Oreochromis niloticus: one gene and its partner. The protein of the gene in region 2 purifies or fractionates together with the protein of the main gene of each other region. This does not show direct contact. Links are inferred from orthologs where the notes say so. Each region holds a gene or a part of one and is shown on either strand. Other genes may lie near its edges.

Region 1 (10,583 bases), on a different chromosome or scaffold from region 2:
TATGCCCTCGTGACCGGGTATCCTAAATCCATACCCAGCTTCTGTCCACCCACGGCAGTGGAGAAGGTGGATGCCGCCCTCCATGACCCACAGACCAGGAAGACTATTTTCTTTGTAGGCAGCAGTTACTACAGGTGTGTTCAGGTCACACCTGGAGAATAGCAGGTAGCGTCACAGATGTTCCACCTGCCTAATCCCATTTCTCTTCCAGCTATGACGAGGCCAGGGTTGACATGGATGACGGAAACCCCAAACAAGTGGATGAGACCTTCCTGGAAATGAGCTCCGGAGTGACAGCAGCTCTGTAGTACAGAGGTGAGCATCTGTCCAGCTGTTTTTAGGGTCCTTGGGTTGTAATGCAGCACTAACAGGTGACGTGTGTCCCGCAGGTTTCTTCTACTTGTACAGTGGACCGTACATGTACGAGTTCAGCCAGAGGATGCTGCTCTGCGTGCTGAGGAACAGCTACTTCCTGTCCTGCTCCAAACTCTAGACCCTTAGACGAGTTCACACAAAATCCCAAATTTAAAGGAGAAGAAGAGCCGATCATTTTTAATGATTTCACTGCTCCTATCACCAGCAGCTCAGGTGTTTCTGTAACGTCACTGCTTTATAAAGTTTTCAATATAAATTTACCTGTGGCACAGCCGTCCTTGTTTATTTGCTGTGAGTCAACCTGTGAACGTCACACACATCAAACACAAACCAGTTAAATACATCATGTCCAGGTATGTTACAGCCTGAGGTGGCACAGGTACACACTACGGTATTTAAGGGACAAGTACAACTTTACTTGACTAAAGGGGCAAAAGTACTCAGAGTACAGAACCAGCACCTGTATGTTTCAGGTGATACTCATATCAGAATAGGGTAACACAAACTTTATTTAAACTGAGGGTCTGACTGAAGATGGCCTTTATGGCCTTTAACATCTGTTGCCTGCTCTGCCTCCACACCTGGACAGGTAAACAAGAGTGTACAGCGGGGTTTGGCAGATTGAGGAATCACAGGATTGGTAGTAGTGGTGCATCATGGGAAAGAGAGTCAGTCAGAATTAAATTAATAAAATAAATAAAAGTTGGTATTAGCAGGTTGGACTATTATGTAGAGTGGGATGAGAGTGCCCTCTGCTGGACCTGTGAACAAACTACGAGCAGCTGCTGATCTTACTTTGAATGGAAACATTGAGTTTGAACCACACAGACAGCCAATGAAAGCGAAGCTGGACAGGTGTGAGTCCTACCTGTGGGTAACCCTGGGACAGGTGACAGAAACATCTGCTTTCATATGTCTAAGAGACAGGAAACTAATGCAGTGCTTTTACATAAACGCTGTGGTTGTTTGTTTGTGTCAGTGATGTCATTATAAAGAGCTCATCATTTAGAGTAACAGAAGGTGTGATCTGATCAGAGGTTTAAACCAGTACATCTGTTCAGGTACAATGTGAAGCAGCGACCGTCTCCTGTTGTGTCCTGAGCCGAGCTTCAGGTGAGTCTCACGAGCGCCTCAAAAACAGGAAGTGAGTGGAGAACGGGTGACTGTTACCAGAACTGTACTGTACTACGAGTACACCAGGGCTGTACTTGTATTGTGTAGTACTTTATAGTAGTAAAATACTGTACTATGATCAGTTCAAGTAGAAGTGAAATAAAAATGGCTGCGGTTACAGAGGAGTGTGATGTCTGAGCAGGATAAAACTCTGATGATCTTCACTGATTGCTCTGATTGCATACCTGCAGGAAGGCTAGTGTTTGCTGTTCTGGACATGCTCAGACCTGCAGTTCTTCTAGCCCTGACTGGCCAGTTGATGGTGTGCACTCTGCTGAGGTCACATTTTGGGATTGCCAGGGATCGCTTGAACCCCCACGGAGTACTTTTTTACAGTAAAAAAGTTGCCGTTACTGAGGTCACATCAGTCTGATGACCTGCTGATGTCAATACCTCAGCTCAGGGGCGATTTTAGCCCATTTTTGAATGAATCAAAGCACCCCCAAAGATTTCTTACTTCTTTTGACAATATTTGCTGTTTTTGTGACACACTACTAAAAATATAAAAAGCATACAGTACTTGGTTGAGACGTAACATTTCAACAACAAAAGTATAGATACCCCCCCCCTCCAAAATGGGGTTTGTTCCAGCTTGCCACTCCCCAACTCTGGCTCCAGCACCGTTGCTGCCAGAGCAATGGTGGCTGAGATGCAGCGGAGCGGAGGTGGAAGTGCCTGGCTTAAAACAGGACATATTAGCTGCATTTAACCTTCAGTTTCTCTGTATATAGTTAGGTAGGAGTCAGACCATGTTTCTTTTTAGCTTAAAAACATTACACCCAGGTAACCTGCAGTGTTGAAAACTTGTTTTCCGACGATGTTTGCTACCCTACAATCCGTCCTGCTCTGTAGTAAAATCAGCGACATTTGACCGTCCTGTTGTTCCCGTTGAAATGTATACAGCCTATTTAAAATCTAAAACTTAAAATTGTCCATAGGCTACTGTTGTTACTACTGTCCTGTTTGTAATGGATACTAACTAGCTAACTGACTGGATGCCCATTAACCTTATAACTCCTGTTGTGTGTGTGTGTTTGTGTACAGAGAGACAGTTCATAATCAATATAAGGAAATCTTTTCAAAAAAAGGAGCCACATTCAGGTAAAAGTGTAAAATCAAATGATCAGTCAATAAAGGATTATGTTGGATCAGTGTTTCAATATTTATATCTTTTATTAGATGTTCATGTTGTTTGGTTATTTGCCTTTTGGTTGAAAGTACACTGAGAGAGTACTTTTTGTTAGTGATCTTCAGTGATGGGAATAACGGCGTTACAAGTAACGGCGTTACTTTTTTCAGTAACGAGTAATCTAACTAATTACTATTCCTATCGTTACAACACCGTTACAGTTACTAACAAGGAAACGCGGTCCGTTACTATTTTTCAACAAACAGACGGTTGAAACTGTGTTCAGCTTACCGCATCTTATATCAGCTGCACGGAAGTAGCTGTAAGTAATCTGGACGCTAGCTTTAAGCAGCTGCGCGCTCCCGCGGACGGCAATCACGATCACTGTCTAGCACAACACCTGGAGCTAAGGAGGCAAAACAATCGAGTGCTGCTGTTTGACTGAGGAAGAATAAAGTAGTCGTGGTAAGTCAATCACGTGACCACTTAAAGACAAAGCAACAAGGTGCTATATACCAGTTTTTAAATTGTGTCCACAGGCCACGTAAAACCAGAGTCGTGATAAACAAGATATACGGCGTTTTTTCCTCAATAGTTTCGCCACGTTAGCAAGCACTCTCTGCTTATGCGCAAAAAACAAAACAAAACAGGGGAAGTTTTAGGAGTGACGTCGAGAGAGAGAGAGAGAGAGAGAGCAGAAAAAGAGAGAGAGCGAGTTTTGAGATGTGAGATTTGTGACGTTTAGCGTGTTTGGAGTGTGTAGTTAATGTGTTGTCTTGTGTAGTTAGTGTGTAGTGTTGTGGATAGTTTTGTGTTGTGTGTCAGAACAATGAGGCGACTGCTGTCTCCAGGTAGAAACAGCAGTGATACACCTGCTGCTGTCAGACCTGCAGGTATCAGGCTGTGATGTTCTCCTTTATAGTGGACAGAAATTATTTTTTTTGGAGAGGCACAAATAATTTGTGTGGCATCTTATTGAAGAACAGCTGATTGTTCTGTAAATAGTTTGAAATGGTTGTTTAAAAAATCAAGGTAAATGGATGCAAATAAATTTGTTGTTTGCAAAACTTGTGCATAGGATTTTAAAATTGACAATTAATATTTGCATTTGAAGTTATGAAATATGATTCATTAAACATGTTTGTGGTTGTTACAGTAAAAATGTAACTTTTTCTACTCTGATTTTATGGTTTTTGTCTGATTTTAGATCAATTCTGGTTATACAGTATGACAAAATGAGAACATAACTGTAAATTCAGGCACGCAAGGTTGTGCTAAAAAGAATGATACCAAACAAGGCAAAGCAAATAGTTGTTTTTAAAGGTAAAATGTGGAGAGAAAATCAAGAGTAGTAAAAAAATGGCCAATTATACCCTGGACCCCAGGGGGTTAAACGTTCTTTGTTTTTTTTAAAGTAACGCAATAGTTACTTTTCCAAGTAATTAATTACTTTTAGAATATTGTAACTCAGTTACTAACTCAGTTACTTTTTTGAAGAAGTAACTAGTAACTATAATTGAATTACTTTTTCAAAGTAACTTGCCCAACACTGGTGATCTTAATAGTATTTTTTTTTCATATTAATGTAATCTTTTCATCTAATTGAATACAATCTATTTGTGTATGATTGTCAGTCCAAAGAGGGAGAGAGGAAAGAGGGGAACATGAGGAGAAAGGTCAGGAAGAACCAGGTAAGAAAACAGACAGGGAACAGTGACAGGCAAAACAGAAACCGTTAAACTGACAAAGAGAAAAAACCTGATTTTACTCATACAATCTAGAAGTTACGTTCTCCCTATATTAAAGCTGCTATACAGAATCTTCAAAACAAACTGGGTTGAAACATTTTTGACCCTCTTTAACAACATTCCAACATACCATTATCATTGATTGGGGAGATTAAAATTAATGATATATTTTTATGTGGTTCAGCCACAACTCTACTAAAACCTCAGCCAGTAATAGGTAGGCTAACCTTTGGACCGTCCAGTTGTCTGTATGACTGCAGTACGTGCACCACATTTGTACACTATCAGAAAGTGCCAAACAGCCCTGGTGGAGTGAGGAGCTGTAACGAGAAGCAGAGTGCTCTGTTTATATTCTAAAAATGTTTTAAACTAGCTTGTTTCAAAGATTCTGTACTGCAGCTTTAAATGTTTTCCAAAAGTACACATACACTTACCTTATCAGTGTTTCTCAAACTTTTTACAGTGTCTACCATTGGGAAAATGTCGAGCTCTCCCAAGTACCACTATGAAAGTATGAAACTCATAAATCTTACAACACAAAATTAGTATTATTAAATTAGTAAAATTGGTATCTGCAGTAAAGATTTTTTCATACATTGTATACATTCTACCACAGGCAAAGTTGCCTCCATTTTTATATTTTTTTTTATTAATATTTTGTAATACTTTATTTGTAATAACTTATTCTGTTTTGGGAGTATTTTTTATGTATCTGTATTATATTATACATACTCATTAAAAGTGAATCTCTGTCCAAAAAATGCACTCAGTTTACTTTTTACTCACTATGAGCATCATTCATTATTCTCCCCCAGTAATTAAGGTTAGAATATGTATTTTTTTTATTCCAATCCATTCTTCTTTTGCAGCATTCAAATAACCTTTATCAGATTTGATGGTTTTGTTACAGACTTTTAAAAAAGTGTTTTGTTTTTCTTTCACAAATGTGGGGATTGAATTGTGTTAAAATGTACAAAACAATGATGTCATGTTTTGTGATGAGAACCCAGGCACAGAGAGACTTGATGAATTTAAGAATCTTATGATTTAATAAAGAAATTTACAGACTTGCACAGAGATGGTAAAATTATGATGACTGATAATAGAGATGAAGACAACAGACGACGAGGACAGGGAGGAACAGGGGTTTAAATGCATCAAGGAGAGTGTCATAGAGAACTTGGGAGAACTGGAGACATTTAAGGATGCAGGGGATGACAGAGACAGGGAAGAAGTCTCATTGTGATGTGTAAAGTTTATTTTGCCTCGCTGGGCAGCTCTCTTTGTGCTCAGCACCCCCAAAGCTCAGATAGCAGCGTTCATCTTACTCTCCGTGGAGATCAGGCTGGGGATGATGGAGATGATGATATACATCATCAGTGACATCATCAGTGCCATCAGACAGCAGGATGACATTTTTGTAAGATGAAGGTCTGACTGTTGGGTGCGGGTGGAACTGTGGATGATGTGATACTGATGCTGATCCAGGACCAGCTGAGCTCAGGTACACGGTGAGATGCAGAAACACTGAAGCACCCCAACACCTGCAGGAGTTACTTTATCAGGTTACTGAGGAGGACTCAGACACAGCCATCATGAACCAGACTATCGATTATTCATGTCTGACTGATCTGACATCAGTCAGAGGAGCAGCTGAGCTGGATCGGTGCTGCTGCTGCTGATGGAGTAACCATAGATAGATACAGGTAATATTCACTTTATTTACACAGCTCCAAAGCCACGGTCTCCTCTAATGATTTACTAAATAAAGCTACAGAGCGTGCTGCCTCCTCATTGGTCGCTCCAGAACGTTTGTCACGTGTCCTGAGCTGGACTCGAACCCGCGCTCTCCGGCTCTTGTAAGCAGCTGTTTTTAAATAAAGTTGGGGACATCCTCCTCCTCCTCCTCCCTCTTCTCCTCGGGGCGGAGCGGCAGCACTCCTCTGAGGAGGAGTCTGTCTCCTCCTATAAAGAGGATCCTCGCTCTGCGTCCTCCCTCTTCTTCTTCCTCCTCTGGCGGATCCTTGCGCGTGTCCTCGTGGTTACTCTTCATCACCTTTATCATGGGTTTTGGTGACCTGAAGTCAGCCTCCGGCCTCAAAGTGCTCAACGACTTCCTGTCTGACCGCAGCTACATCGAAGGGTGAGTGCCGGGAGCCGCCGTAAAGCGGTAGAAACTGCGGCATAGCCGCCGCCATGTTGGGTCCATGCTGAGCAAACGGGCTAACGGTTAGCTGCGTTGATTCAAGCGCTAAAGAAGGGAAACAGGAAACGGGACGGTAAACTGGCGCGAGAAGTGCACCGGGTTTGGAAGGAGGGTAGGGGTAGGGTAGGAAGGGTCCGTGCCGCGACCGTTTTTATTCACTTCCGTTTGACGTGACAAGCTGTTAGTCTGTTAGCCGCATCCTGCTAACGGCTGCGAGTCTGCGCACTGTCCCACGTGGATGGAATGAAGTCTTGCACCTGCTCTTGGAGTACCCCTAGCCATGGTCATGTGTTCTCTCCTCAGGTACGTACCCTCCCAGGCTGACGTGGCGGTCTTCGAAGCTATTTCGGCTCCGCCCCCTGCTGACTTGTGCCACGCCCTCCGCTGGTACAACCACATCCGTTCCTACCAGAGCGAGAAGAGCAGGTGAGCGCTGCTGACATCGTGGGGTGAACAACGGTGTGCTCCGGCAGCAACTAAACCTCGCCTCCTGTTTCAGTCTTCCAGGTGTGAAGAAGCCCCTGGGTCAGTACGGGCCCCCCGGAGTGGCTGACACAACCTCAGGCTCCGCCCCCACCACAGCCAAAGACGAGGACGATGATGACATCGACCTGTTCGGCTCAGATGAGGAGGTGAGGAGGTGGCGATGTCACCATGATGCTACAGCGTTGTCACTCTAACCTTTAACCCTGAGTTTTGGTTTAAAAGGAAGATGCTGAGGCGACCCGGCTGAAGGAGGAGCGCCTCGCTGCCTATGCCGCCAAGAAGGCTAAAAGTAGGTCCGCCCCCCTTGCAACCAATGCGTCATACAGACTCTGTGATGATTAACCAATCACCATCTTTCGGCTGACGCCTGATGGATGCCTTTTCTGCCTGACGAGTCCCGCCCTCGCACGGCTCGTGGCTCGCTCCATTTCCACAGTAACTAACCCCCTCCCCTCTCCTGCAGAGCCCGCAGTCATCGCCAAGTCTTCAATTCTATTGGACGTGAAGCCATGGGACGACGAGACGGACATGGCGAAGCTCGAGGAGTGCGTACGCAGTATCCAGATGGACGGGCTGGTGTGGGGCCAGTGTGAGTACTACTGCAAATACTGCATACACTATTACACCCACCACTGTGGGGTTAAAGTATTACACACAAGGTTGGAGTCAGTATCCGGATGGATGGGCTGGTGTGGGTACTGCAGAGTAATACTACTGGTAGCACTGCAGTAGCATTAAAGTAATCATTGTACCAGATGATGTGGTGGTAGTAGTAGTGTCTAACACGCAGTAGTAGTGACGTACTGATCAGTACTCTGTCAGTTAAGTCATTGGTAACGCCGTGATCATTGACTATAGATGAGTACTGATGGATCAATGGAGCTGATCAGTTATTGGGTGACTCGGTATACCTGTGACACCTGAAGTATTGATTATAGATCAGTACAGGCTCATTTTGATGTTCTGATCTGTTTATTGATAATGGGTTATTGATCAGAGTGGGTGTGATTCCTGCAGACACTTGATTATTGATTTGTGTGTAGAGTATTGATCAGGCTCACTGATGATCTAACTCACCATCTTTCGGCTGATCACTGATCGACTCTTACTGATCTGAGAGCTTCTGATCACTGACCAATAACCCGATAGCTGCAGCTTGGAGTTGCTGATCGCTAACTGTGATTGATCTGTCCTGCAGCCAAACTGGTTCCCGTGGGTTACGGCATCAAGAAGCTGCAGATCAACTGTGTGGTGGAGGATGACAAGGTGAGTGGCCTGTTATTGATTGCTGATTAGGTGCCTGTCAGGTTGATTAGATCACCTGTGGCACTCCTGCAGCAGTAAATGCTGTTGCCTGTGTGTGAGCTCACCTCTGTGATGTCATCTGTCTCAGGTGGGCACCGACATCCTGGAGGAGAAGATCACGGAGTTCGAGGACTTTGTACAATCGATGGACGTCGCTGCATTCAATAAAATCTGAAATAAAAGCTCTGCACCACACACTGTGTTTGACTCACCTGTACACACACTTACACCTGTTGGTTAAGGGGCCTGTAGCACTGAGTAGCTGGAGCTCAGAGCTGCTTTCAGGTAAACTCAGAGCTGATCCTAAACTTAAGTGTAAGTAAGCCTGAGATTAAACCATTAAGTCAGCTGAAACTTTATTTAGCACAGACTCAGTCGACGCGTCCTCTTCAGTGGATTCAAATTAAAGCCTGCTTCTTCACCGGAGCTAGTTCATTAATCATTGTATTAATCTGTTCAGAGTAATGTTCATCCCGAGCTGTGTAACTTGGGCTGTGATTGGGGGACAGAAACGCATCACACTTTTTGTGTGTTGTTGTTGTTTTGTTTTTTTAAACCCGGGAACGCGGACTGTAGAGGCTGCACTTCTCCGTGTGGCCTGCTGGCGGAGCCACGCCCACGCTGTGTTGCAGCGAATGGAGCCGAAGAAGAAGAGTCGGACCGGAACTTAAACAGAAGGGGGAGCAACGCGCGGCGGCGGAGGACTTTTAAATCTGTGGAAACTGAACAAAAGCAAGAAGGAGAACAAACAGCTGAAGGTAAACGGTTTCTGTCCGCCCTGACGTGAATGCACTGCGCCCACAGACAGCCACTCATCTGCTCCTTCGGCCTCACCTAGCGGGCTAACCATGCTAGCCCATAGCCAGGTGCTAATGCTAACAGCTGCTGTGAGGGTAAAGCCACGTCACTGGCAGCGTGACGAGCGGCGTCGCCATGGTTACCGCGAGTCCGGTTTAAGTCGGGGCCAGCGTGAGTTTAACCAGTCAGGTTTAAGAGGGAAGGTTAGCACCCGGCTAGTTAGCTTCAGTCAGAATCGACCAATTAGAGCTCGGTTCAGGCGACAGTAGCCAATTAGAGCGCAGGAAGAGAAGGGCTCTGATTGGTCAGTCGACGGCGCCGTGTAAACAAAGGGTTTTCGTTTACAAACAACTGACATAATTGCTTGTTTATTCAGAGTTACCATGGTAACGGGAGCTGTGAGGGCTTACAGAGAGTCACACCATCTAAATGCAACACATCTGGTAACTGTCCTCATGATTTCCTAAGGTAGAGTCTGAGTGTAGTTCTCAATGCTCTTTGCGCTAGGAACCACGTTTTTACGATCAGGGTCAGAGGTCACGCGAAGCTGGTTATAAACACTGCCTTAACCGCAGGTCACTTAAAAGCAGTGGAGCTGGCAGTGTTGAACCAATCACAGGTGTTTCATGGGTCATGTGACTCTTCCACAGAAAATAATCCCTATGCGTGACACCAGAGATGTCATCAGATGGTGATAAAGATCTACAAACAAAAGTGGTTTCAGTAACACAGCAGTGTGACAGTGAGATGCTCAGTCTAAGCTTCAGTCAGTGGTTCATATGAAATCAGTCAGTCTCACTGAAAACATCTGGAAATCAAAGAATCAGTTAAAAGGTCAGCTGACCTGAAACTCTGAAAATCACAATTAGATTGGTCAGAAGATGAATGGGTGTGATTGGGTGAATGAATTAGTTGTATAAAGCGCTTTGGGTGCTCAGAAAAAGTAGAAAAGCGCTATATAAGAACCAGTCCATTTACCATGTAGCCACTAGAGCAGGGCGATATGACCAAAAATATTTGTCACGATATACATTTGAAAATTTGCGATAACGATATAACTGACGATATAATTGACACTAGACAAAATACTTTACAACTTTACAACTCCACAACTTTATTAGTGCAAAAAAAACCCCCATCAATGTATTTTCACTTAACAAGCAGCTGTTTTTATGTGCATTAAAGTTATATAAAAATGTAACAGTGCAAATGCAAATTCCTTGCTGATAGTTTAACCAAAAGGCATTTCCAGTAGAAATTGGCCGACATATCCTCAGCATAACCATGTATAATATCCACAAAACTTAAAACGAGGTTATACACACACAATACGGTAATATTATGTTGAAGCACAGTACGTATC
Region 2 (10,455 bases):
TTACTGCGTATGACTGTGTTTGCTTGCTTGACCTCTCTGCAAAGGAATCCTGATACCGTTGTTGACTGAAGCCCGAGGGTACATTTGGCTCATGTTGGCCATAACTTTTAAGCAATGTGAAGGGAGCATGGCGCGACTCCAGCTCTTGATGACTAAAAGAGAGTGCAAGATATTTTTTTCCGCTGACTCTAGAGCCGTGGTATTACATGCAAATTTTTGTTTTTGCGACATAATGATTTTGCAAAAAGCACTCAGTGCCAGCGTCATGCCTCAACAGGCATGGTTCTGATATTTAGGAGGGCAAATGTGCAAGCCATGTAAGGGAGTGTGTTCAGATTTCAAGAATCGCTGCACTCTGGGTGAGACAATGACCCGTGAAACTGTCGCTATCCGGATTTAGCTCTAATAAGGAGTTCATGAACAAACCCTGCTATATTTACAGTTCACTTTCTCTCGTTTATCTGGACTTTTAGGTGTGAAATTCTTCTTGATCTGGAAGCAATTCAAAGCAAATATTTGATCTGATAGAGAGTCAGCACTTTAAGAAAGGCGCTTTACCTAACAACAAGAGTTTGTCAATCGAATAACCTTGCACAGAGACCATTGTTTGGGTATGCAGACATACTGGTAATTGACAGCTCTGAATAGGTGTGGGCTTTCCTTGTGTACTTAACAGAAATGGGAGTTAAAGGTGTAACCATAGAGAGTATGAGAGGGAGGGGTGAAGTGGAGGTACAGCCAGAGGGAGAGTCATAGAGGGTGGAACTGACAGAGGGGGGCGAGGCTGTCAGGAAAAGGGAAATGAAGGAGTAAGCAAGATTGTGCCTGCAAACACAGACTCACTCTCACAGAGTGCAGCTAACATTATCAGCGGACAGACATGGTTGCAGAGAAACTGGAGGAGGAAACAAGGAGCGAGTGAGGAAAACAACAAGCCATCAGCAGCCAACCTTGGCCACATTATCTTTCTCATCTATATACGGAAATCACTGGGTAATTTATAAGCCTCTCCCTCTCACTCTGTAAGTGTGTGTGTGTGTGTGAGAGAGGAGGGGGGATCTGCTAAGCTCACCACCATCATGCTGTGTCCTGCTGCTGTCAGTGCAGCTGCTGCGGCTGTCTGCCTGCTGGCAGTGTTGGGCCTAGGCCTGTCTCTCCCAGCTGAGGACAACTCGGAGGCAGACTTCACCCTCTGCAGCAACTGCTTCTACAGACAGACGCCTCCTCAGGGATCCTCTGCAGGGCCGCTGCTGCGCCCACGCTGCCACAGGCTGCCGGGAGGGCAGGCGTTTGCCACTCTGTCCAGACCGACCTGTGACACAGCTGTCTACTCTGCCTTCCATCTTGGCCAGGGATGGACTGAGAGGGAGGGAGAGGAGGGGAGAGAACCTGTGGTAAGAGTACATCTATCACATTTCTTAAAGTAGAAGTGCTTAGTTTTGAATGATGAAATTCTAAGTAAAGAAATGTGGTGTAAAGTAACTAAGTACATTCACTAAACTGGTTATTTTTCTAAATTCAGTTATTTGGCAGTTGTGGGAACCACTCAATTTTCTAATAGAGAAAATGAAGTAAAAAACACAGAAAATGGAGCCCTGCAATAGATTGGCGGCGTGTCCAAGGTGTGCCCTGCCACCTGCCCTGTGACAGCTGGGATACGCTCTAGCCCAACCATTGCCCCTGAACTGGATAAGTAGAAGAAAACGCAAGGCTGGATTACCTGGATTTGATGGCCACCCTTTAAGAGGGGCCTGTAATGACTATTAACTCTTTGCAGTTGAAGTTTAGACAAATTTCATCTCTAAAAAACTTTCAGGTGTTTACATCTGAATACAAACTCAGTGCTGAAATAGGTACCGTTAATTCATATTTTACACAAAAAATAAATACATTTGTAAAACAGGGTGTTACTTCTCTACTCATACAGAAAAGGTCAAATCATCATCGTTTTAGAAAACATGATTCATAGGAACATTTATGTACAGAATGCATTCTTACATATTACATACATCTTACATATTGTTATTTAATAGCCAAATAAACTAAATGAATGTTTTTATATCTAAATTTGAGCTGACACACTGGAATTAATCAAACATAACATTCGACCACTAAAATACATTTTTCTCTTCAGAACTTGGCATCAAAAATAATAACACATTTCTATCTTTTTTCTGCTTTTTGCAAAACAGTAAATTAGAGAATTTGTGAATAACTACAATAATTTTAGCATTGGATTAACCATTAGGAAACATAAGACATTATTTTTTTCGTAAATACAATGCTGTTACTTTAGGGCAACTGTGGTATAAACCTTATAGTGGTTAGGGATCTAATAACTTTGTTAAGCGCTCTACTTGGATTACTTTATCACAGACAATGGAAATAATCTGGAATAATAATAAATAAGAAGAAGTATAAGAATTACAGGTGTCTGGGGATAACTAAAGATTTGTAATGCAGAGCCTTTGAATAATAGTATATTCAATATAAAATAAAACACCTATGAAACTTTTGTTTTTCAAACATTCAGCTCTCAGGCCAAACAAAAAGTTTTTTAATTAGGAAAAGGGTCTAATTATTTTTTCCACATTAAAAAATCATTTGAAAATGGAGCTTAAAGAAAATGTAAACAATATAAATTTAAAAGCTGGATTGGATCTTTATCACACTGATAATTATAAACACTCAACAGCTGGGCACGCAGAAACAGGAAATAGAGATGTTTCTGTTGTTGTTGTGTCCTTATATGGGAACATTTAAAAATCAGAGTGCATTGATTGAAGAGTTTGATGGACTCGTTGTTAAACTGCTGGTTTTGGTTCTTTTTCTGCCAGACGGAGCAGGAAGAAGACATTAAAGTGGCAGCACCAGCTCTTCTCAGAGGAGGTGCGGATCCATCTCATTCTGTCTCACCCACAGACTCCCCTTTTCACCACTGGGATTCAACAGTCACAACACTGGTCCAGTCAAGCGTGTCTCCCCAGTGCAGCACTGTAGGGGGTGATCTCTACATCCTGACTGGACTGGGAGGACTCGGGGCTGCTGAAGATGGAGACGAGGAGTGTCAGACGAAGCTGCTGTGGTCTGCGGCGTGCTGTGCTGTCCCGCAGGGGAAGGGTGGCTTCAGCGTTGGGTTAATCAGAGAGACGGAGGAAGGGGTGAGGCAAGTGAGCGTGAAGGAGCTGGAAGACATGCTAGGATTGGCAGAAATGTTCTCTGAAGGCTGCGGAGGAGGAGATGGGAAAAGTGTTGAAGTCAGAGTTGGTCTCCACAGTGAGGGACTTCCTGGAAATACAGAAGCAGTCGCTGCTGTTGAGGAGACAACTGACACAGAAAGCCGAGAGGCGTCGATAACTAAAGAACAGGCAGCTAATTCTCAGTCAGGGAAAGCTGACGGCGCTGACGCCACGCAGGAGACTTCAGCAGATGCAGCAACTTCTGAGAGCGGCGGTAATGAACAGGGTGATGTGACACGCTCAGGAGCTGTCAGGTCAGACTCAGACTCCTCAGCTGAACATGAAACTGCTGAAGAGACGGACACAAACTCCACCAGCACTCTGGTCTCCATCCTCTCCATCACCTTCTCCATCTTCAAATTTCCTTTGCGTCCTGTATTCTCTACAATCACACAACTACCTGAACAGGTGATGCAAAAGCATTAACTGTTTAAAGATAGTTTTACTTTATCAGAATTAGATTACTTTATTAATCCCATGGGTTATTATAAGGTCACAGGTATTCCAAGACAGAAAAAACAGTAACAAACAAGTTAAAGTACAAATACTAAAATAACAAAATATATTACAAAATATTAGAAATAGCTCTAATATGTAAACATCCCAAAATATACTACACAAAATGTAAATATAAACATAATTTAAACTGAGTTGCCCCTCTCACCATACTAACAGTTATTTTCTATGTAAAGGATGTGCAGATATTAAGAGGTTCAGACTCAAAGATGTTTTCTGGGAGTATATCATACACTTCCATAGAGTCGAGTCTATATCAAGGGCAAGTTGCAATACTGGGTCTACTTTCCCATAAAGCATTACCGAGACTTCATGGATTACCTCGCCACACCCTAGTTTGTAAAAACATCATTGTTAACATCTCCATGATTTGTCAGACCTCTCAGATCCACATTCCAGACATGTGTGTAACACATGTGTGACAGTTGTTTTCACAGATTGACTAATGCTCCCCGAGACTCTCTCATTTCACAAGTTACAAGCAATCCTTGAGAATTAAAAGATATTATGACTCTATATATTAATTAAACAGTATAATAACCTATGGTTCTGCTTAATGTTTTCAATAGGAAAACAAAACCATTACAAATCATTAGAAATAGACAATTTTGTTTCTACATTTGAGCCTCGGGTTAATAAAACTGTCTCAAGAGTTTGTGTTATGTATTAACCTGTTATGTATTAACATATTCAGGTTCAGAGTTAAATAATAAATCATCTCATTCCAGTCTGCTCCTCCCATAGACTGGAATGAGGTGTGGTGTACAGGTGGAGTTAATTCTGGGTGTAGTGCATTGCCTCAAGGCTTTCTGTCTTTTTGTTGTTTATACTTCCTGCAGTCACACTGTGAAATCGACTCACTTTTCTTATCTGCGTTCAGGTCACCTATGTTCTCCAGGAAGACCTCGGAGTTCTCTCTACCCTGCCTGGAGAGACCTTCACCCTGCTCCATCTACTGACCTCTGACCTCCTCTCCTGGATGGGCACAGCAGGAGAAATGCTGCTAGGTATTGGGGAGACCTGCTTCTGTAGTGTTTATTACTGCACCTCCTCTATGATGGGGGAACTGCTGAGCAGCTGCCACATTGGGGTCACTGGTCTGGGCACCCTGGCTGGAGACACAGTGGGGGTATTTGGTGATGCTTTGGATAATGCTTGGTCGGTGACCAAGTTCTTTGGAGGGCGGCTGTGGGAGCAGAGTGAGGGTTATATGGGAACAGTGATGTCAGAGATGGGAGGTCAAGCACAAGCTGTAGGAGGAGGTTTTGGGAGACTGGTATGGAGAAGTGGGAAGGGAGTGATCAATGTGTTCAGGCTGGGTGGAGGGGTTATATTTGGAATGGTTGATGTTGTCTTTGGGGGTGTAAGAGAGGCCTTTGGGCAGGAGGCGAATGAAGAATGAAAGAAAAAAAAGACTCAAGATAACACCTTTAATAAACTTTTTTTTTCCTGAAGTTTCAGTTTTGGTTTGTAAATTTCTTCCAGATATGAAAGTGTGAAAAACTAATTAAAGATGTCATTTGATATGCCTTAGTTGTTACAGATGGTTTGCTGGATTTATTTTTGAAGTAAAATAGTGATGGAGTAAATTTCACTGCATTTCTTACACTGTAGGTCTTACAATTCACTGTGGAAAACTGGCTGCCCAAATAGTCTGCTGTACTTGAGAGCTTAACCAACTGTGATTTGAATAACACTGTGCACACTCTGCTATTGGATGTAATTACTCATGACAACATGTGTGATAACTGTCACATCTGTCAATCTGAATAAAAGAGTATGCTGGGTTACCAACATGACATGCACCATTTCCTTGAATTTCCTTAATTTAATATTCTTGTTTCCTTCTTCCAGTAGTACAGTTTGACATATATATGTATATTTACCCAGTTACCTAGTCATATTATGCTTCTACTGCAAACTGTATTTTTAGACAGTAAAAAATGACAGAATTTTACAGAATAAACCATGATGATGTTGGTATTACGTTTTTACCAGATCGGTAAACTGCTGCTTTATTATACTATTATACTATATTTATTAAACTGCGTTATTTGTACTAAATGATGATGAAACAATACTAATATATAACCATAACCTGCAAGATGACTCTCTACCACAGATACATTTTTATTATCGAGGGCACATGAGATATAAAACATTTGTTATGCCTATTTGCATGCAAATATATTGTTTTGGTGTAATATATATATCAACAGACATTGTAGTGGTGATAAGGAGCATAACAGTCCAAATAGCAACATCTGGAGGAAGGAGCGCGAAACAATAGAGTACCAGGGGCTTAAGGTGGAAGGTAAAGTGGCCGAAAGTGTAAGAGTCATTATGTGTGTCAATGTATTTATATTTAAAGATATGTCTGTGTAATTAAATTCAGTCAACTGATTGTAATTTCTATTTTTTAAATAACTACTTGTTTATTATCATTTTCTTACAATTAGCTGATTTGATGTAATAGCTATGTATTACTACTAATAATAATCACTATCATCACCATCATACTTTGACTTTTTATTTTTGAGGCAAACTGCTTTTAAATAGCTTTTATTAGCAGTTTTAACAGCTTTAATAAGACTTTTTTTAAAAAATACAAGTCCTTTAATTTTTAATTTAATAGCTTTACAGAGTGGCGTTGCTAATCTAATGTAATCTAATCTAATCGCCGATCGCTGATTAAAATACCTTCAGTGGTAGTTGTTGCTGACCTGTTGTTGTAGATAACATGACTTCCGTTTTGTGCCGGAAGCGGCGGCTGAAACCCGGAACTCGTCGATGCCGTTTCATTGCATCAGACGGGCATTCATGTGGCTGTGTGTGTGCGCTAACTGAGCTGACGTCTCTGTCTGTTTCATTCAAAGGTACGCATGACTCGCTTTGGAACATTTTAATAGCAAGCCGCAGGTTTCTTAGACGCTTACGTTCTGGTGAATTTAAAGTTGTGGCAGCTTGAATAAAGGTTTATTAAAGTTCACGGCGGAGCTGCTGAAGAAAAACTTCTTTCAGTTTGACTCGTTAGCTTAAGCTAACTAGCCTGCTTGCATGAGTTTTCATCAGTCTGACAGGTGGCACGGCTCAGAGCTGCAGAAAGTGAAATAAAGAGCTAACGGGCTAACATATCTATCCTTTTTTTAAGCTCCTTTGATACCCACTGTGACATGCTTAAAGCTGATTTTATTAAATATGTTTAAACAGTTTGCTTTGACAAACCTTCTGGACATCCCCTTGGGTGGCATGAAGTTTGGCATAACAGTGTTTCTGCCAGCAAACACACCCATCCAGTCTGATAAGGAAATGCTCAATTACAGCAACAAAATGAGTGTTTCTCTCTTACTTCATGCAACCTTAATGTGTCTTCACCAGAGATGACCACTCTCTACGTGTCCCCTCACCCTGATGACTTCAGGAGCCTTCTGGCTCTCTTAGCTGCAGAATATGGACTGTCCTCCCGGCCGCGGATCATCACAGAGGACCCTCCTGCATCTCTGAACGCCCGCTCCAGACCAGCCCTGGTGCTGGGCACCGCTGGGGATGGTGACTCTCTAGTGAGCGGGGCCACTGCTGTGTCGTGGTACTTAGCCTTTCAGGGAAAGAGGGCTGGTCTAGATGCTAAGCAGCAGAGCCAGGTTTGGCAGTGGCTCAGTTTTGCAGACAATGAGCTCACCCCAGTGTCGTGTGCTGTGGTCTTCCCTCTGATGGGGGTGACAGGAGTGGATAAGAAGGTATTTAAAAGCTTCCTTGGACCTGAACGTGTGTCTGATTTGTTCATGTAAAAATGTATTCTCCTACTCTTTGTGCATTCTCAGCTCCAGCAGAGTTCCCGTGCGGAGCTGATGCGTGTTCTTAAGGTTCTCGATCAGGCTTTGGCACCAAGAACCTACCTGGTGGGAGAGAGCATTACCCTGGCTGATATGGCTGTAGCTACAGCTGTTTTGCTCCCCTTCAAATATGTATGTGTGCTGCGCTAAACTTTCTGTCTAACAGGTTTTTCTGCATAGCTTCTGAACAGAAAAGCTTTAATATGCTTTTATAAACACTCAGGCATTGGAGCCATCAGACAGGAAGGCTGTAACGAATGTTACCAGATGGTTCACGACCTGCATTAATCAGCCACAGTTCCTGAAGGTACTGGGGGCGATCGTTCTTTGTGAAAAGATGGTCCCAGTCACACCAAAAACAAATGCTGCTACAAATGCTGTTAATGGCAGTCCTGCTGCTGACTCTCCCGGCGCTCCAGCAAACGGTTAGGAACTTCAACGAATCACTTGATAAGTATTAGCAGAATGCAATGTACCGTATCTCATGCCATTGTGATGTTTTCTCTCTCAGGCCCACCGAAGACGGAGGCCCAGCTGAAGAAAGAAGCAAAGAAGAGAGAAAAGCTTGAAAAATTCCAACAGAAGAAAGAAATGGAAGCAAAGAAAAAGACACAGCCGCCATCTGAGGTATAAATACCCAACATGTACAAAGAGAAATTCATTTGTGAAGTTTTGAAAATCGCAAATATCCACGGTAAATCATCTGTTCTTGTGTAGTGCTTTTCTACCCTACTTGAAAGTGAAAGTGATTTATATAACATATTACATTCATACAAGCACTTTCTTGTTTTTTTATTTTTAGTCCTGCTGTGTTCTGTCAAAATTATGATCTCAATGCACTGTGATCAGCTGTATAAATTCTCCATAGACTGCTCTTGTTCAGAGCTTATCTGTTTATTTCTTCATTTCTGTTCATGTCATTTCAGTTATTACATTATATGTGGTATACAGTATGACAATGTCTAAGGCAGGATATGGGGGAAAAGGGGGAGGAGGGTGATAGGGGAAGACATAATAAAAGGATAGAGTACAAATAGAAATGCACTATTTATCGCTAACTGCCTCACCTGTAAGAAAAACAAACGTACGGAACACAAAAATTTGAAAATGAAAATGAAAATTCGAAAGGGTGACCCTGAACTAGCCATCTGATTTGTAGTTGATAGTAACACAGTCACTGAAGACGTTACTATTTCAAAGTCTCTCATCTCTTTTTTTCTTCTGCTTTTTTTCTCAGAAAAAGGCCAAACCTGAGAAGAAGGAATTGGGAGTGATTACATATAACATCGCCACCACTGCTGGAGAAAAAAAAGGTGAGTGTTCACTATGCTTGAGTTGATTTGTGTACTGTAAGCACATTGCACGTAACGTTGTGTTCCAGGGAAGCTTCCCTGCAGCTTGCACTGTGAAGTTACCTTATCTCAGTGACCACAACCTGTAAAGCGGATGCCACACCTAAGTTTCAAGCTGTTTAATTTAAACGGAAAATAAAACAGAGGAAATGGCCTGGCAAAAAAAAGAAGCAAAAAAGTGGAACACGTTAGGGTCAGTGGGTTGTAGGACCAAGAGCTTCTCTCCCTAAACTAATGAGGTAAAAAAGTAAACCAACAAATAAAACTGTAAAAAGACAGGCTACCAGTACTTCCATCTTACAAGAAAAAGAAATAAGGAAGCGGAGATCTGAAGATGCTGGAGAGCTGCTTAGGCTGGTAGAACAAGGTCCTTTAGTTAGAGGCAGAGCAGTCATCAATGACTGGACCTGGCTCAGCTGATAAAGAGGGAACTGACGAGCAAAGTAGGAGAGAGTAGGGCAGGAAAGGGGAGACAACACTGACAGGTCTGTTGGCAGCAGAACAACAAAGACCTGTAATATCTGAAAAATATGCAAAGTTCAAACAGTGTGGGCTAAAAGCATTACAAGTGTGACGTGTCTGATACCAAAAGCATGTTAAATTATTTAAGCTGTGGCCTAATATTTTAAAAAACCCCCACTGTAAATCAAGTTAAGCTGTACAGTTTCTAGAGGTGTGTGTGTGTGTGTGTGTGCGTGTGTGCACGCGCTGTATTGGAAAAGCACTATGTCAATAAAGGCTTTTTAAAGCCAGGAAGTAAAGCTGGATAAAATAGACCTTCCTGCTGTCTGGGCACGAGGTCCACGTTAATGGTACCACTATTTTCCGGAGAATTGATTGATCAGTGGGTGGTAGTTTTGTACCAATTGACCCCCTCTCTTGAACCTAACTTCCTTTATAACAAGATGGATCTGCAGCAGAAGTTACCATGGTGATGTGCCATCCCATCACAAGTTAACCACTGTCATTACCCAGAAAATCCAGGTTTAACCCTAAAGTTGCCTCAGTAAGCACCAAATCCTGCTTTGTAGCTCAGGCCTGTGGTCACTCCATTCAGACTCTGCTGTTCATTCACAAACAAAACAAAAGTTGTTCTGTCTGTGTTGTGTGTGTAAGGTTGCGTGTGACAAATAAAGGCTTTCTTGAGTTAGTTTTTAGATAAATGTGGACATTTCACCAAGTAGGTGCTGTGTAAAATAAAAGACACATAGGATAGACAACCACAGTATTCTTTAGATTTAGGGGAACAGATTCTACCTCAGGCTTCAGGATTGATGTTCGTATGTATGCTAGAAAGCTTAACATCCAAGTGTCATCACACTTCTCATTGTATATTATGTGTGTATTATTGTACTTTGATGACCTTTACATTTAGTCCTTCTGGGTTTTGCAGCTTTTTTTATTCATTAGAGGTTTATTATTCCACTGAGTGATGACATATTTGAAAAAGTGCACCTTCTTTTCAGACTGTGATATTAGTAGTTTTGTCAGCATTTCACTTGAGTGAGCTTCAGA

Evidence for each region.
Region 1: the proteins of vars1 (region 2) and eef1b2 fractionate together in Homo sapiens (co-fractionation; 3 studies listed by BioGRID, with this or other methods). This does not show direct contact. The link is inferred for Oreochromis niloticus from reciprocal best matches to the Homo sapiens genes VARS1 and EEF1B2.

Annotation. Positions count from the first base shown.
Region 1 is NC_031980.2:39,040,141-39,050,723, reverse strand, and holds eef1b2 (elongation factor 1-beta), read left to right. Parts: upstream 1-6,315; 5' UTR 6,316-6,488; coding exon 6,489-6,568; intron 6,569-6,934; coding exon 6,935-7,057; intron 7,058-7,130; coding exon 7,131-7,263; intron 7,264-7,339; coding exon 7,340-7,406; intron 7,407-7,580; coding exon 7,581-7,706; intron 7,707-8,315; coding exon 8,316-8,383; intron 8,384-8,510; coding exon 8,511-8,597; 3' UTR 8,598-8,617; downstream 8,618-10,583. UniProt on the Homo sapiens protein: Catalytic subunit of the guanine nucleotide exchange factor (GEF) (eEF1B subcomplex) of the eukaryotic elongation factor 1 complex (eEF1).
Region 2 is NC_031976.2:23,842,050-23,852,504, forward strand, and holds the start of vars1 (valine--tRNA ligase), read left to right. Parts: upstream 1-6,519; 5' UTR 6,520-6,631; intron 6,632-7,133; 5' UTR 7,134-7,135; coding exon 7,136-7,492; intron 7,493-7,576; coding exon 7,577-7,720; intron 7,721-7,811; coding exon 7,812-8,013; intron 8,014-8,099; coding exon 8,100-8,215; intron 8,216-8,825; coding exon 8,826-8,901; intron 8,902-10,455. Other genes in the region: uncharacterized protein si:ch73-54f23.2, read left to right, coding at 1,080-1,394, 2,838-3,647, 4,636-5,157. UniProt on the Homo sapiens protein: Catalyzes the attachment of valine to tRNA(Val).